3 linked regions of the Saccharomyces cerevisiae S288C genome follow. Changing the gene in region 1 together with any one later gene gives a genetic interaction. Each region holds a gene or a part of one and is shown on either strand. Other genes may lie near its edges.

Region 1 (4,792 bases):
TATTACCTGACTCAGGTGATGGAGTGCTCAGAGGCGTTCCAACTGATGATGGATACTGCGGAAACTGTGATTGTGGCCCAGGTGGAAAGTACATAGGCGACATTTGATAAGGTGTATACGGAATCATAGATGGGTGTCCGTAAAATGACCAACCAGATGGATTGGCTTGGTTTTGGGTCATCATGCACTGCTGTGGGTACGGCCCATTCTGTGGAGGTGGTACTGAAGCAGGTTGAGGAGAGGCATGATGGGGGTTCTCTGGAACAGCTGATGAAGCAGGTGTTGTTGTCTGTTGAGAGTTAGCCTTAGTGGAAGCCTTATCATATTCTTGAATTTTGGAAGCTGAAACGTCTAACGGATCTTGATTTGTGTGGACTTCCTTAGAAGTAACCGAAGCACAGGCGCTACCATGAGATATATGTGGGTAATTAGATAATTGTTGGGATTCCATTGTTGATAAAGGCTATAATATTAGGTATACAGAATATACTAGAAGTTCTCCTCGAGGATATAGGAATCCTCAAAATGGGATCTATATTTCTACATACTAATATTACGATTATTCCTCATTCCGTTTTATATGTTTATATTCATTGATCCTATTACATTATCAATCCTTGCGTTTCAGCTTCCTCTAACATCGATGACAGCTTCTCATAACTTATGTCATCATCTTAACACCGTATATGATAATATATTGATAATATAACTATTAGTTGATAGACGATAGTGGATTTTTATTCCAACAGTTTTGTTATAAGGTTGTTTCATATGTGTTTTATGAACGTTTAGGATGACGTATTGTCATACTGACGTATCTCATTTTGAGATACAACACAGTGGGCTAAGAATATACAACCGTTTTAGTCAATGTGTTGAAATATCATATTTTAATGCATTGCTCGAATCTCTTCCTTCGACTTACTTATATTGATTAAGGGTATGTATTTGATCCTTCCACCTGGAAAAACTGAGGACCTTACAGTGTTATTAAGTGTATGATGTATCACTGTCGTTGTAGTATTTCTCGGGAAGTTTTTCACTGGCAATTGGAGGTTGCTAGAGTTTCTTTTAACGCATACCCTAAACGCTTGTTTCTATTTTAATGACTACTTGAATCCTATCTAACTGGTGACACAATTTGTTTCATTTTTTAATATCTCACCTAATATATCCTAATAATATGAACATACCATAGCTCTTGTAAAGCTGGTCCATATTTATGTTTAGTTTCCGAATGCTTTTGTAAGGAAACGGGTTGTGGAAAAAAAAAAATACAACTACGTTGCCGCGAATCTTGTTGAAAAAGGTCTCAAATTAAGGCAAAAATGATACTGGAATTGTTAGTCTTGTATAATCGATCAACTGCAACAACCAAGTCTTTAAATTTTCAGTCCGTCTTGAAAGAATAGTGAAGGTTCATTTTTATTTTTACATAGTAAAGTTTATAGAATTATGGGCGATACACAATATAAATGTTCTAACCCAACTGATGCATATCATCACTGTACGTTTGAAAATCGGACAGGCAAACTGGATAAATGGAAAACGCAATTACAAAGGGTATGAAAATGAATGTAAGAAGTGAAACAGTGCCTCGAAACAGTTCCCAAACTCTCTACGACTTCATTAGTCATTTCACGTCCATATATCAAAACATATATCAATATTCCTTAGCGTATGCCCTTCTTACGGCGTCTCTTCTCCTCTTCATGCTTTTTTAACCAAGCTTCCTCACGTTTATCCTCTAACCTTGCCATTTTTCTTGCCATTTCCTCCTCTTCCAAGATTTCCATCTCATTTGCTTCCATATCATCATCCTCAAGCTCATCGTAATCGTATTCTGACCGCTTCTTGCCTCTATTGAACATAGCCCAAATTTCGTCACGATCATATCCGGGACCATTGCTGTGTTTCGATTTGCTGTGGTAACCTTCATCTTCATCGTCTTCTATAAAATCATCCATATCGTTATCTTCTTCATCATAGTCATCCTGGTATCTTGATTTCTGTTTTCTAGATTCTAACTTTTCTTTTAATCTCCTATTAGGTTGAGCAAATCCATTTGTGGGCAAGTTGAGCTTGACGGGCTTGGGTGAGTCTGATGATTTTATGCTATTGCCTCCAGAAGATACTCCACGCAATGTTGCGCCAGGGGATGCTTTCTTTTGTGGTCTTTTTGAACTTTTGAAACCTGGCTTGTTAAAATGTGGGCGTTCCTTAGTTACGGGTTCCGATGACTTAACTTTTGGGGGCTGTTTCTCATTATTTTCCGCTTGTTTCATTAGCTCTTCAAATGACATCTTTTTGATAGGTTCAGGTTTCTTCCTTACAACTGGCTTGAGTGGCGCATGACTTGCTCCAATAGACCTCTTAAACCTAATTCCAAGGCCACCTTCATCATCGTCATTCCTTTCTATTTTCTTTTTCTCAGATCCAGATGAGGTGCCACGTTTCCGTTTTACACCACTTTTTTTAGCCAAAGCACCATTCTTTAACAGTTCCTGCCGCCTCAGCTCCTTCAATCTTTTTACTGCAGGATCTTCGTCTCTTATGTAATTTTTGGGTAACAAGGAATACTCTTCGTCATTCTTCTTGGGTAATGGATCTTGCACTTGGGCTTTTGATGCAGTCGTTGATTTTCGTATTTGGGAAAGTTTGGAAAGAAAACTCATAACTAAAATATTTCACTTTGAATAGGACTCAAGTCCCTGTCCCTCTCATCAACTTTTATTTTCAAATTACACTAGTTATTTTATTGTATTCATATATTAATCTGTGGCACTTGTCCATGTGGGAATATCTTAGTCGAACAAGAAAAATAATCATGTTAAACGAAAAAGTTTGAAGCCAACTAAGTTCTCATTCATTACAAAGTATATACAAAATTCCTGAACATAGAATTTCTTTATTAAAAACATACTTTCCTAATTATTCAAACCGTTTCAGCCTCATTTCAGTCTGATTCCTCTGACATCTCTAGTTCTTTCATAAAATCCGAATAATCCTCCCCGACATCGTCGTCTGTAGCACTTTCCTCCGCTTTGTCAACAGAAACATAATCTAAACTATCTTCTGGCTCTGAAGGTTCACTATACGGCCTTGCTTCGTGGTTTGCTATACCTGGTAGGAACCCACCTCCCATAAAAGTCTCCGTATTATCGTGATTGTCCGCAATATTCTGTTCCTTCGTAACGTTAGGTTCTTCCTCGGCAATTTTACCATATGTGGAGTTCAGCTTGCTACGAATACGCAGTTTTAGCAGTAAAGTATTCCAACTCTCCAAAGCACCAAGCAAATGTTCCTTCCTATTATCATCCTCTTGAATAAACTCTATTCCATCAATAGCGGTTTCAATAGCTTCTCTGAGCCACTTTGCAACAACAATGCCACTTAAAACTGGCTTAACTGTACTGCCGCGTTCAAACTTAAAAGAAGTTACAGCAGGTGCAAATTCCACCCCCAAAAACCTAGCAGCTTTAATTGCCACAGGATTCTCAACCAAACAACAGTTACCAGGTATCATCGTTGGTGCAAAAACTTCGATGTTTCCAAATGTATTCTTGGTTATTTCACCGCTCGCACTGGCTAATGGAGGGATGTATAATTCTGTGTCTTCAAAGCTATATAATCTTTCATCTTCTTCTTCTGCTTCGCCCTTAGGCCTTCCAACTGTCCTCTTTATCACCTTTTTACACCTGCTACCAGTTTTTAAAATTCGGCCGTTCATGTACCATTGTCTAGCACTTTTCAAATCCGCAATATCTCTTTTTGCATAAACTTTCAAAACCTTCCCAACTTTTCCATGTACTTTTAAATATCCACACTCTTTACATCCTGGCTTTACAATTTGAGTCTGTTTGATATCTTGTTCTAAAACATAATATGGGTGGTTTTTCAAATCCTGCACCGAATCTGGTATGCCTTCACTTTCATCTCTCTGAAAAAAATATTGATCTTCGTAATCATCAATTTTGGTTCTCTTTCTATGGTGAAGTGCTGTTATCACTTTTCTGAACCATTTCTCACCAAAGTCATCTTTAGTAATTCTTCTTTTTCTTACTTTAGAGTTCATCCATTGGGCATATCTTCGAGTTACATCTCTACAGCCATACTTCCGATCGTAAGCAATCACGTACCTCAACATATTTCTTTCGCAGCACGCCACGCCTTTCGGTGCCAACTTGGAATGAAGTCTGACCTGTTCAATGGTTTTGAGATTTACTGGGTCAACAGTTATCCATTTCTTAGAGAATTTGTCCCACACTTCACACCAAAAAATCGGATACTTGACCATATCTTTGTACGCATTGTTTCCATTCAAAGAAGTGTCAATCTTCATATTGGTAAAATCTGGCGGTTGACATGACATGATAAGTCGTGCGTTAACATTACAAGCCCTGAGCATCGCAACGAAACCTTGCACTGAAATATCAGGATCTCCGTGACCTTTACTGACGGCCCTTAAAAAGTCAGATCTTTTCAACGTCTTGAATTTTCTTTTGTTATTGGCGCTCATTTCAATTTCTTTCCAGGTTCTCATATAAAGTCCCACATTATCATATTTTTTAGTGATCTTCCAGTGTTTTTGCCATAACTCCATGCATTTCTTCAACCCATCTAATAATTTCCTAGTACTCCTAAGTGGGAGTTCCTCATCTTTCTGAGGATGCAGTAGCTCAAACACTTTCTCAGGAACTAAGTTGCTCAGTTTTCTAGACAAGCGCTTGCTGTTAATCCATTCATTTCGTATAAATCCATGAACCATCAAGCAAACTAGATACAACATGTG
Region 2 (5,121 bases), on another chromosome or scaffold:
AGCATTAGCTAAATGCATCGCTGAAAATACACAGGTCAGGGAATCTTTGGTTGAAGTAAATTTTGCTGACTTATACACTTCGAGGTTGGTTGACGAAGTCGTTGATTCGTTGAAGTTTTTATTGCCTGTTCTGTTGAAATGTCCTCACTTGGAGATTGTGAACCTTTCTGATAATGCGTTTGGGCTAAGAACAATCGAGTTACTAGAAGATTACATTGCACATGCCGTGAATATCAAACATTTGATCTTAAGTAACAATGGTATGGGCCCTTTTGCTGGTGAAAGGATTGGTAAGGCCCTATTTCATCTCGCTCAAAATAAGAAAGCTGCTTCCAAACCATTTTTGGAAACTTTTATCTGTGGTAGAAATAGATTAGAGAATGGATCCGCAGTCTACTTAGCTCTGGGTTTGAAAAGCCACTCCGAAGGTTTGAAAGTCGTAAAGCTGTACCAAAATGGTATTAGGCCTAAAGGTGTCGCCACGCTAATTCATTACGGTTTACAGTACTTGAAAAACTTGGAAATCTTGGATCTTCAAGACAATACTTTCACGAAACATGCTTCTTTGATCCTTGCTAAGGCCTTGCCTACATGGAAGGATAGTTTATTTGAATTGAATTTGAACGACTGTCTTTTGAAAACTGCTGGTTCAGATGAAGTCTTTAAAGTATTCACCGAAGTTAAATTCCCCAATTTGCATGTCTTGAAATTCGAATATAATGAAATGGCTCAAGAAACCATTGAAGTATCCTTCTTACCGGCTATGGAAAAGGGAAATTTACCTGAATTGGAAAAGCTAGAAATAAATGGTAACAGATTAGATGAAGATTCTGATGCTTTAGATTTGCTCCAAAGCAAATTTGATGATTTAGAGGTTGACGATTTTGAAGAGGTCGATAGTGAAGATGAGGAAGGCGAGGACGAGGAAGACGAGGACGAGGATGAAAAACTCGAAGAAATTGAAACGGAAAGGCTTGAAAAGGAACTGCTAGAAGTACAAGTAGATGATCTTGCTGAACGTTTAGCTGAAACTGAAATCAAATAGCTATGAATAAAAGTAAAAATAAACACAATCAACTGTGGACGAGGTTCAGGCAAATATCATGGTGACACGCTTATAGATAGTTATCGGGTAAGTTAAAAAACCAAATAGCTGATGTATGTATATGTATGCAAAAGATATAAAATATATATTTCTATTACAGGTACAACAGGTCCAGTAAGAAGCCAAGCAAAAAACAGCATTATCGTCTAGATGCTCCTTTCTTCGCCAGAAAATCTGCCATTTCATTTCCTGGATCACCATCGTGTCCTTTTACCCATTCAATCTGAAATTTACCATTATTTTTGAAGCACTCTTTATTCAACTCATAGTACTTTTTAACTTTAACGAACCTCTGCACCAAAGGAACAATTAAATCAGAATTAGGTAGCCCTTCAAGTTTTTTATTATCATACGTCATATACCTGTCATTTAATAATTTGGTTACGTACTCTGAATCAGTTTTGATTTGATAATTTACTTTTTCCTTTTCATTAGTTAACTTTTCCCAGATTTTCTTCAAAGCTTCTGATACTGCTTCGATTTCAGCTCTATTATTAGTTTGAGCTCCCGATAATAAGGGTTCTGAAATATTTTCCTCTGGCGCTCCTTCAAAATATGCACCATAACCTGCCCTTGAAGATGACGTGCCGTTTCCAAAACTTGAACCATCACAGTAAACGTTCATAGACTTGTTGTACATGGTATTGCTAGAAAGCTTATACTTAGATTCAAAACTTTCTTTGGATATATTCATGAGCTTGTAATCATGCGCACTCATACCACTAATGAAGTTTTCCGCAGCTAATTGGTCTTCAAACTTCTTGAAGGTTATACCCCTTTTATGCTTGACATAGGCTTGACAGTCTTTCCAATTGTTAAAGATTTTACTCTCGATATTTGGAACATTACTCTTTACTGAATAAAAGGTATTTGTATTAGCAGAGCTTAAAGATGAACATGCTGATGACGATGTCAAGGAGGAATAATGAAGTGGCCGATTCCTTCGATGAACTCGCTTTTGAGTGGTATGAGGTTTACTAACTTGCCCTCCAGCATGCGTTGAACTTCCATAGTTTGATGTAGTATTTGGTTGACCTAGGAAAGATTTCGCTTGCTCGTAGCTGTTAAATTTTTTATAAATTGCACCACCATAACCATCAACTTGGTTTTTACATTCATTCCATGTATTATAGATCCCAGTTTCCCTGCCCTTTCTAACCGCGTAGAAGTTCCCTTGCCTTGCCATAATTAGGAATCGATAGTTCCTTCGATAAGCAAGGAGTGACACTTTAACTAATTTAAACAACGTGTATTATTGTGCTGCCATGAAATTAATATAGATCTTTACGACTATTGTACTTGCTTTTATTCATTGTTGATGCTGCTGTCATTTTTACATTTTTTTCTCCAGATAAAAAATAAAAAAAATATGCCATTAATTGATATCATCAGAATTTGACGAAATTCTCAAATCGAATTTGCCATAGTATTTCTTTAACGCCGTGAAGTGAAATTATTTATTACTAATGCTACATTAATTGTTAATTTACCTGTTTCAAGTACAATACAGTAGGTGCAGTGTGCTTTATACATGTCATCAAAGAGGAAAAAAAATCATTAAATTTGTATAAGTGCTACAGCCAAGATCAACCGCTTAAATTGGGAAGAGATTCGTTTTCCAATTTGATTTCTTTTTCGGGTGTTTGCTTTTGTTCCTCTTCATGTTTCACAATTTCATCGGGATTAAACAAGTGCTTAGTTAAGAGTTTATTCATTGAAAACATCGTCATTTTTTTGCCAAAAATTGGTTCCATCTTCTCATCGCATAGAATTTCTCTACGATCTTTTGGGTTTTGAAGATCATGCTCTTTGATATACTGCCATATCATCTTCACTACTTGCGTTCGTGGCAGTTCTTCAGATCCTAGAAACTTTTGTAAAGGAGCTGACAACAGAACTTTGCGGACGGAAATGCTGTTGGAATCAGGACTATCATTCTTTTTCTTCTTCCTTTTAGATTTACTTTCACTTTTACCTTTCCTTTTCCTCGTAGACCTCAAGGGTCTTTCTTCTTCCTTCTGTAACCTCAAAGATAGTTCTTGATCCCGACTAATGAGGTCGTTCTTCGGAATTAAGACTCTTGGGTTTTCTTGTATATCGCCGAACCTCTCAAGAATCAATTCATTAATTAACTTTCTTTGTGAATCCAAATTAACTGAATAGAGAATTTGCAGGGCTTTCCTCACCCTTTTTGGGCTTATTTCATCGGGGTTGGATACGCTCAAAATAGCGTCAACCATCGGAATATATTTATTGATGTCGGCCATAATGCTTTCACCCTCTATTTGCCTTCTATTTGCTCATTTCCTCTTAAACTTTTTCTTAAGGCTTTTCATGAATTAATTAAAATTTTCTTTCTCCTTCGCGCCAGCAAACAAATTATAGGTGACTGACTATAGTTCAACATATATACTGCTCCAGCGCAGTAGTACTACTTTAATAAAAAAGAAAACAAAACATTCTAAAAACTATAAGCTAAATATACTCTTTTGTTAAAGTTCGAAAAGTTTTCTGACAACACGGCTTCCACTAGGGTCTCCAGGGAAAGGCCAATCTTTTCTTACCATGCGTTTTGTCATATATCGTGATTTAGAATAACACTGCAAAATATCAAGATTTTTAATTTGGCCGGTAGCTATAGAGTCATTAAGAGACATATTTTCAAGATCTTTTTGCAGGTATTTTTTTCCACCAGCAATGATTTCCAAATATTTTAAGAAGACTTTGATATAGTTCAACAAGATACATTCGATAGTATCGTGGATCAAAGTAATAAAGACCGGTAATTCCCTTTTCATCTGGTTTTGCAGGTTTTGGAAATGCATTCCCAACAAGTCACGTTTAATATCTCGCACATTTGCTTTTTTTTCTTGTAAAAATAACATGTAATCTTTCTTCAAAGCTTGCAAATCTTTTAGTTTGCTTTTAACGGTAGTACAATGGGCTATGATTCTTTCAAGTGGGTTCATCACATCTGTTTCGAGCTCTGTGAGTTTCAAAATTGTTACTTGATTTTTTTGTTCATGCAGTTTATCTATGTACGAAGAACACATGGTCGATATTAAGTTATCGTGCGCAAAAAATGCACCAGAAGGGCGTTCGCACTCGATCACCTTTTTCCATGCATTTATTCTTCTTAAACTGATATCAATAATGCCTGACAGATCGTTTTTCAATAAATTCTTTTTTAATTCTAACAAACCTTTCATTACTTTCTTGAATTTACTGATGTGATCTGCCAATGTAAAAAATTCTGTTTCTTCATCCATTTTTAGATTTATCATCTCAGCTGAGGCAGTTGAAGTATTAGTGACAATTTCTAGCCCTGATACATCTGAGTAGTAACTCGATGATCCAGAAAGAAGAGAAGGAACTCTACTATTATCCAAATTACTCTCTTGTCGAGATGCATTACATATATTTTTATTTTGTTTGTCTGGGGGTTTTAAAAGGTGTGTAAACTGATCTTCATCATAACTTTGTATAATCTCTGATGGGGTTAAACTGAAATTATACATGGAATTACTCTTATACTCGGAGACCTCGGTTTCTAACTTATTGGAAAATAAAGAATATTTTCTTCTTGTCGGGCTTAGTTTCAAGCCCAATTCTGGCGAAAGAATATCTTCGTAACAGCTTTCCAAAGTTTCCAAAGTATCAATCCACTGAGTCAGTCTTTTCATCGGGCTTTTCAATATGTCCTCTAACTTTATACATCCACTCTCTTTTAAACAATATTCATACCACTTGTTAAAAAAATGATTCTTATTCATCCTTAATGTAGTAAATAGTTCCATTTGTTTTTGGTGGCTAACAAAATAGCTTGTGTAGGTGGATTTGATTCTTAACAAATGTTGCTCGAACGCCTCTGAAATATCAAAAGTTGAATATAGCTGCTGTTGTACCTCATTTTTGGTGAATATCTTTTGCCATTCATTCGCATCCAACATTTTCCCACGTTGCTTGGCTAAAAGTAGGTCTTTTATTGCCGTTACCAGTATTTTGCTGATTGACGC
Region 3 (5,004 bases), on another chromosome or scaffold:
TTGGTGGTTATAAGAACACTAGCCAGATTCAAATTTGACGAGTGCATTAAGCAATACTTCGATGTAGTAGGACCATCTGTATTTTCTTGCTTGCGTGATCCTGTTATCCCAATTAAGCTCGCAGCAGAAAAAGCATATTTAGCTTTGTTCAAATTGGTTGAAGAAGATGACATGCATACTTTCAACGAGTGGTTTGCTAAAATTTCAGATCGCGGTAACAGCATCGAAACTGTCACAGGTACTACAATTCAATTACGGTCTGTTGGGGACTATACCAAGAGGGTTGGTAAAAGGTTAGCAAATGTCGAAAGAGAAAGGATTGCTGCCGGAGGAGACGCGGAAACAATGTTTAGTGACAGATTTGAAGATGAAAGAGAAATATGGGCTGTCGGAGGTGTTGAATTAACCACTGATATTTGAAGAAAATTCAATGTGGTAACCTCGTTACTTTTTGTATTTGATATATTATTCTCGTTATATAATACATACCACATAATGATATAAAAGACAAAGATATTTTGAAGTCTTCCGCTGTGCATAAGGGTTATTTATATATCTATTGCTCCCAGCATTGTAGCTAATAAGGGCTTGATAATTATTCGTACCCGGATTCATAATTGTCAACTAACTGCCAAACCCAGCGCTCTAATAGTGGCGAGACTTGCCACCACATCATATCGTTACGATCTGTATTGGCGATTCCTAAACACCAAATAACTGTCGACTTTAAATAGCGTCTCAGAAATAACTTATAAGAGAGGTTTATTATTAGAACTATCAATAAAATTAGAGCAATAATTTTAAACGGTTTGATACAAGTTATCTCTTTATTAGACATAATTGTCCAGATGTATTACATGAACTGAGTGACTTGCTCTAATGTTGTAGACACTGATGTCCGGTTTAATTAAGAAAGATTTTGGAAGTTTCACGATATCGATAATGCTGCGGGAGAAGCTTTCAAATTATAAGAAAAGGCTTTTTTTTGTTGTTTTCAGAGTAGTTTGGTGACTTGTCCGTTTCAGAAGTGTCTCGAATACGGAGTGCACCTTCCAAAAATGTTTCTGACGGCATCGAAGAGCCGAACTCTTATACAATACATGTCATTTTTAACAATGATGCAAATAACTTTTAAGGCCTTAACACTCTACATAATATGCTAAAAACATTAAAAAAAAAAAAAGGAAAATAAAAAAAAAAAAAAAAAAAAAAACGGGAGATTAACCGAATAGCAAACTCTTAAACTATGAAAAGGCAATCAATCCACTGTTTTCTTTTTCCATTTCTTCTAGCCTATTTGAACTGTCTGCTTCTGTTTCTTCATTCATTTCTTGAATGATTTTATCCTCTTCTTCTGTCAGGGCACTTATATCTTGTGTCGGTATGCATTCAGCATCCATTCTGACACTTGGTGCTCCTTGCAAGTATCTGATATTTTCTAGACATCGTATTCTAATGTCTTCCAGTAGTTTTTTACTGTTTTTGTTTTCGTATAAGTCATCTAACATAGGATAAAGTGAATAATCCGGCCCGAATGAGTCCCGGAATGGGATATCTTCGGGGATGTCTTCTGGTAGCAAGACATCATTTAAAATTCCTGTCTCGTAGGTCCAAAGCCGTGATACATTTCTAGGTGTATAACCTCCACCGCCCACTACTAGCATTGGTAGACCAAATGATTTGACAAATTTTACGCATTCTCCATGTGCCTTTATATTTAAATTGAAGCATCCTAAGCGATCATGACCTAAGGAATCCGCACCGCATTGTTGGACAATAAGTGTTGGTTTGAAAGTCATTATTAGAGGATCTACAATTGACTTGAAAAGGTTTATATATGAGTCGTCATCTATGCCATCTTCTAGGGGTACATTTAATGCGAAATGTTTTCCTTTGTCGCAACCAATTTCTGTCAGATCACCAGTTCCTGGGAAAAATTCGCCATTATATTTATGAAAAGACAACGTGAAGACCCTATCTGTGGTGTAAAATGCCTCCTGGACACCATCGCCGTGATGTAAGTCGATATCGATATAAAGGATTCTTGGGTGATATCGTAATAAGTTCAAAATAGAAAGCACAATATCATTTACATAGCAAAACCCAGATGGACTATTCTTTTTTGCATGATGAAGACCACCAGACCAATTTATCGCTATGTCCGATTGATTGTTGATTAGTTTCCTGGTGGCGTCAAGGCTCGCACCAGTGTATAGTGTTGTATAATCATATAAATTTTGAAAAATAGGACAGTCGTCTCCAATGTTAAAATTTTCAAGTGTGCCTCTGGGCAGTTTGTTTGCATTTTCTGGTGAAACCTTCGAGAGAAAATTCACGTAGTCTTCCGAGTGAAATTGTAGTAATTCGTCTCTGGTAGCGCTTCTTGTTTCATAAAGGTCCATAATCTTGTGCAATCCATAAGAGGAAACTAGGTGATCCGTTAGCATTAACCGAAACGGCTTCATTGGATGCTTAACACCATAATGGTAATGTGAAACTTTGGAGTTAAAATGATACGATACCCTGGGAGAATAAGCAGAATTAAACTCAAATAATGGTTCGTTCTCCTTTGTTTTCACATCATAACTAAATGTTCCAGACATGTTGCGTGTTGTTATTCACTTGATACCTGATTTTAACGTACTTGAGTAATCTGGCGTCTTTTCTATAACTGTACATTGGCGACACACCTAAAACTGATTAGAATCGTTTCAAGATGCTTTCAGTTCAACATTTAGTAACATAGTAGGAATATCACGTTTAACGATGCCCCAAAGAACATCGAGAATCCTCTATATAGAGTATAAACAGGGCATTCTACATTGGTATAGAGGTGCCTTAGGTATATAGTGGTACCGGTCACATAAATTGACGGGAATATGCGTCTTTAGGCGGCTTTTGGCGTACAGTATTGTTCTTTCTTTCGTGCTTGTGAAACTTGTTATAAACAAAGAAAGAGAAAGATCTCCCCGGCATTCTGGAAGATCGGTAACCGCTGGAGCTATAGGAAAGGGAGATGGATAACAGTAAAGAAAACGGACCATATAAGTTAGCATTGGGGGTTTTCGAAAAAAATAAGAATTGGCATTCAGACTTGAATTCATAAAAGTTGTAAGCAGGCTATGATTAACGATAAACTAGTACATTTTCTGATCCAGAATTATGATGACATCCTAAGAGCACCGCTTTCTGGACAGCTCAAAGATGTGTATTCACTGTACATCAGTGGCGGATACGATGATGAGATGCAGAAGTTGAGAAACGATAAAGACGAGGTCTTACAGTTTGAACAGTTTTGGAATGATCTTCAGGATATTATATTTGCAACGCCGCAGTCCATTCAATTTGACCAGAATCTATTAGTGGCAGATAGGCCAGAAAAAATTGTTTACCTGGACGTTTTTTCCTTGAAAATTCTCTATAACAAGTTCCATGCCTTCTACTATACATTAAAATCGTCCAGTTCTTCATGTGAAGAAAAAGTGTCGAGTTTAACAACAAAACCGGAAGCTGATTCGGAAAAAGACCAACTGCTGGGTAGACTGCTTGGAGTCCTGAACTGGGACGTTAACGTCAGCAACCAGGGGTTACCACGTGAACAACTGAGCAATCGCTTACAAAATTTATTGAGGGAAAAACCATCATCTTTTCAGCTTGCTAAAGAAAGAGCCAAATACACGACCGAGGTCATTGAATACATCCCGATATGTAGTGACTATTCGCATGCATCTCTATTGTCCACCTCGGTGTACATTGTCAATAACAAAATCGTTTCTTTACAATGGTCCAAAATATCCGCATGTCAGGAAAATCACCCAGGATTAATTGAGTGCATTCAATCAAAAATTCACTTTATCCCTAATATCAAACCACAAACTGATATTTCGTTAGGAGATTGTTCCTATTTGGATACCTGTCATAAATTAAATACGTGTCGATACATTCATTACCTGCAATATATTCCGTCATGCTTGCAAGAGCGAGCTGATCGTGAAACTGCGAGTGAAAATAAAAGAATACGGTCAAACGTTTCCATTCCATTTTATACTCTGGGCAATTGCTCCGCACATTGTATCAAAAAGGCTTTACCTGCACAGTGGATCCGTTGCGATGTGCGGAAATTTGATTTTAGGGTTCTTGGAAAGTTTTCGGTAGTTATTGCAGATCCTGCATGGAATATCCATATGAACCTACCATACGGTACTTGCAACGATATTGAACTATTAGGTTTGCCTTTGCACGAACTACAAGATGAAGGTATTATTTTTCTTTGGGTGACGGGTAGAGCTATAGAATTGGGTAAAGAGTCTTTGAATAACTGGGGTTACAACGTGATAAATGAAGTTTCATGGATAAAGACAAACCAACTGGGTAGAACAATTGTTACAGGTCGTACGGGTCATTGGTTAAATCATTCTAAGGAGCATTTATTGGTGGGCTTAAAGGGTAATCCAAAGTGGATCAACAAACATATTGACGTCGATTTGATCGTATCAATGACCAGAGAGACTAGTAGAAAGCCTGATGAACTGTATGGTATAGCAGAACGGTTGGCAGGCACCCATGCCAGAAAACTAGAGATATTCGGAAGGGATCACAATACGCGGCCTGGCTGGTTTACCATCGGAAACCAGTTGACAGGAAATTGCATTTACGAAATGGATGTCGAGAGGAAGTACCAGGAGTTTATGAAGAGCAAAACTGGAACCAGCCACACTGGTACTAAAAAAATCGACAAAAAGCAACCTTCAAAATTACAGCAGCAGCATCAGCAGCAGTATTGGAATAATATGGATATGGGGAGTGGTAAGTATTATGCTGAGGCCAAGCAGAATCCTATGAATCAAAAACATACTCCCTTTGAATCCAAACAGCAACAAAAACAACAATTCCAAACACTAAATAACCTATATTTTGCTCAGTAAAGCGTTAAATAATCCTTTTAAACATTAATAGCATTGCATAAAAAAGATGGTCATAAAAAAGACTGCAGCGGGAAGTAAA

What was found. Genes that interact genetically often act in the same process or in processes that back each other up.
Region 2: of SPT2 (region 1) and RNH1, a mutation in one rescues a mutant of the other (synthetic rescue), as found in Saccharomyces cerevisiae (3 studies listed by BioGRID, with this or other methods).
Region 3: mutations in SPT2 (region 1) and HOS2 together harm fitness more than expected from each alone (negative genetic interaction), as found in Saccharomyces cerevisiae (3 studies listed by BioGRID).

Annotation. Positions count from the first base shown.
Region 1 is NC_001137.3:497,674-502,465, forward strand, and holds SPT2 (Spt2p), read right to left. Parts: upstream 2,676-4,792; coding exon 1,674-2,675; downstream 1-1,673. Other genes in the region: YER159C-A (gag protein), read right to left, coding at 1-451; RAD4 (Rad4p), read right to left, coding at 2,957-4,792. UniProt on the Saccharomyces cerevisiae protein: Histone chaperone that stabilizes pre-existing histone tetramers and regulates replication-independent histone exchange on chromatin.
Region 2 is NC_001145.3:737,436-742,556, reverse strand, and holds RNH1 (RNA-DNA hybrid ribonuclease), read right to left. Parts: upstream 2,292-5,121; coding exon 1,245-2,291; downstream 1-1,244. Other genes in the region: GTPase-activating protein RNA1, read left to right, coding at 1-1,045; TRI1 (Tri1p), read right to left, coding at 2,692-3,372; FUS2 (Fus2p), read right to left, coding at 3,598-5,121. UniProt on the Saccharomyces cerevisiae protein: Endonuclease that specifically degrades the RNA of RNA-DNA hybrids.
Region 3 is NC_001139.9:139,124-144,127, forward strand, and holds HOS2 (histone deacetylase HOS2), read right to left. Parts: upstream 2,604-5,004; coding exon 1,245-2,603; downstream 1-1,244. Other genes in the region: GCN1 (Gcn1p), read left to right, coding at 1-420; YGL194C-A (uncharacterized protein), read right to left, coding at 596-838; YGL193C (uncharacterized protein), read right to left, coding at 2,793-3,104; IME4 (mRNA (N6-adenosine)-methyltransferase), read left to right, coding at 3,123-4,925.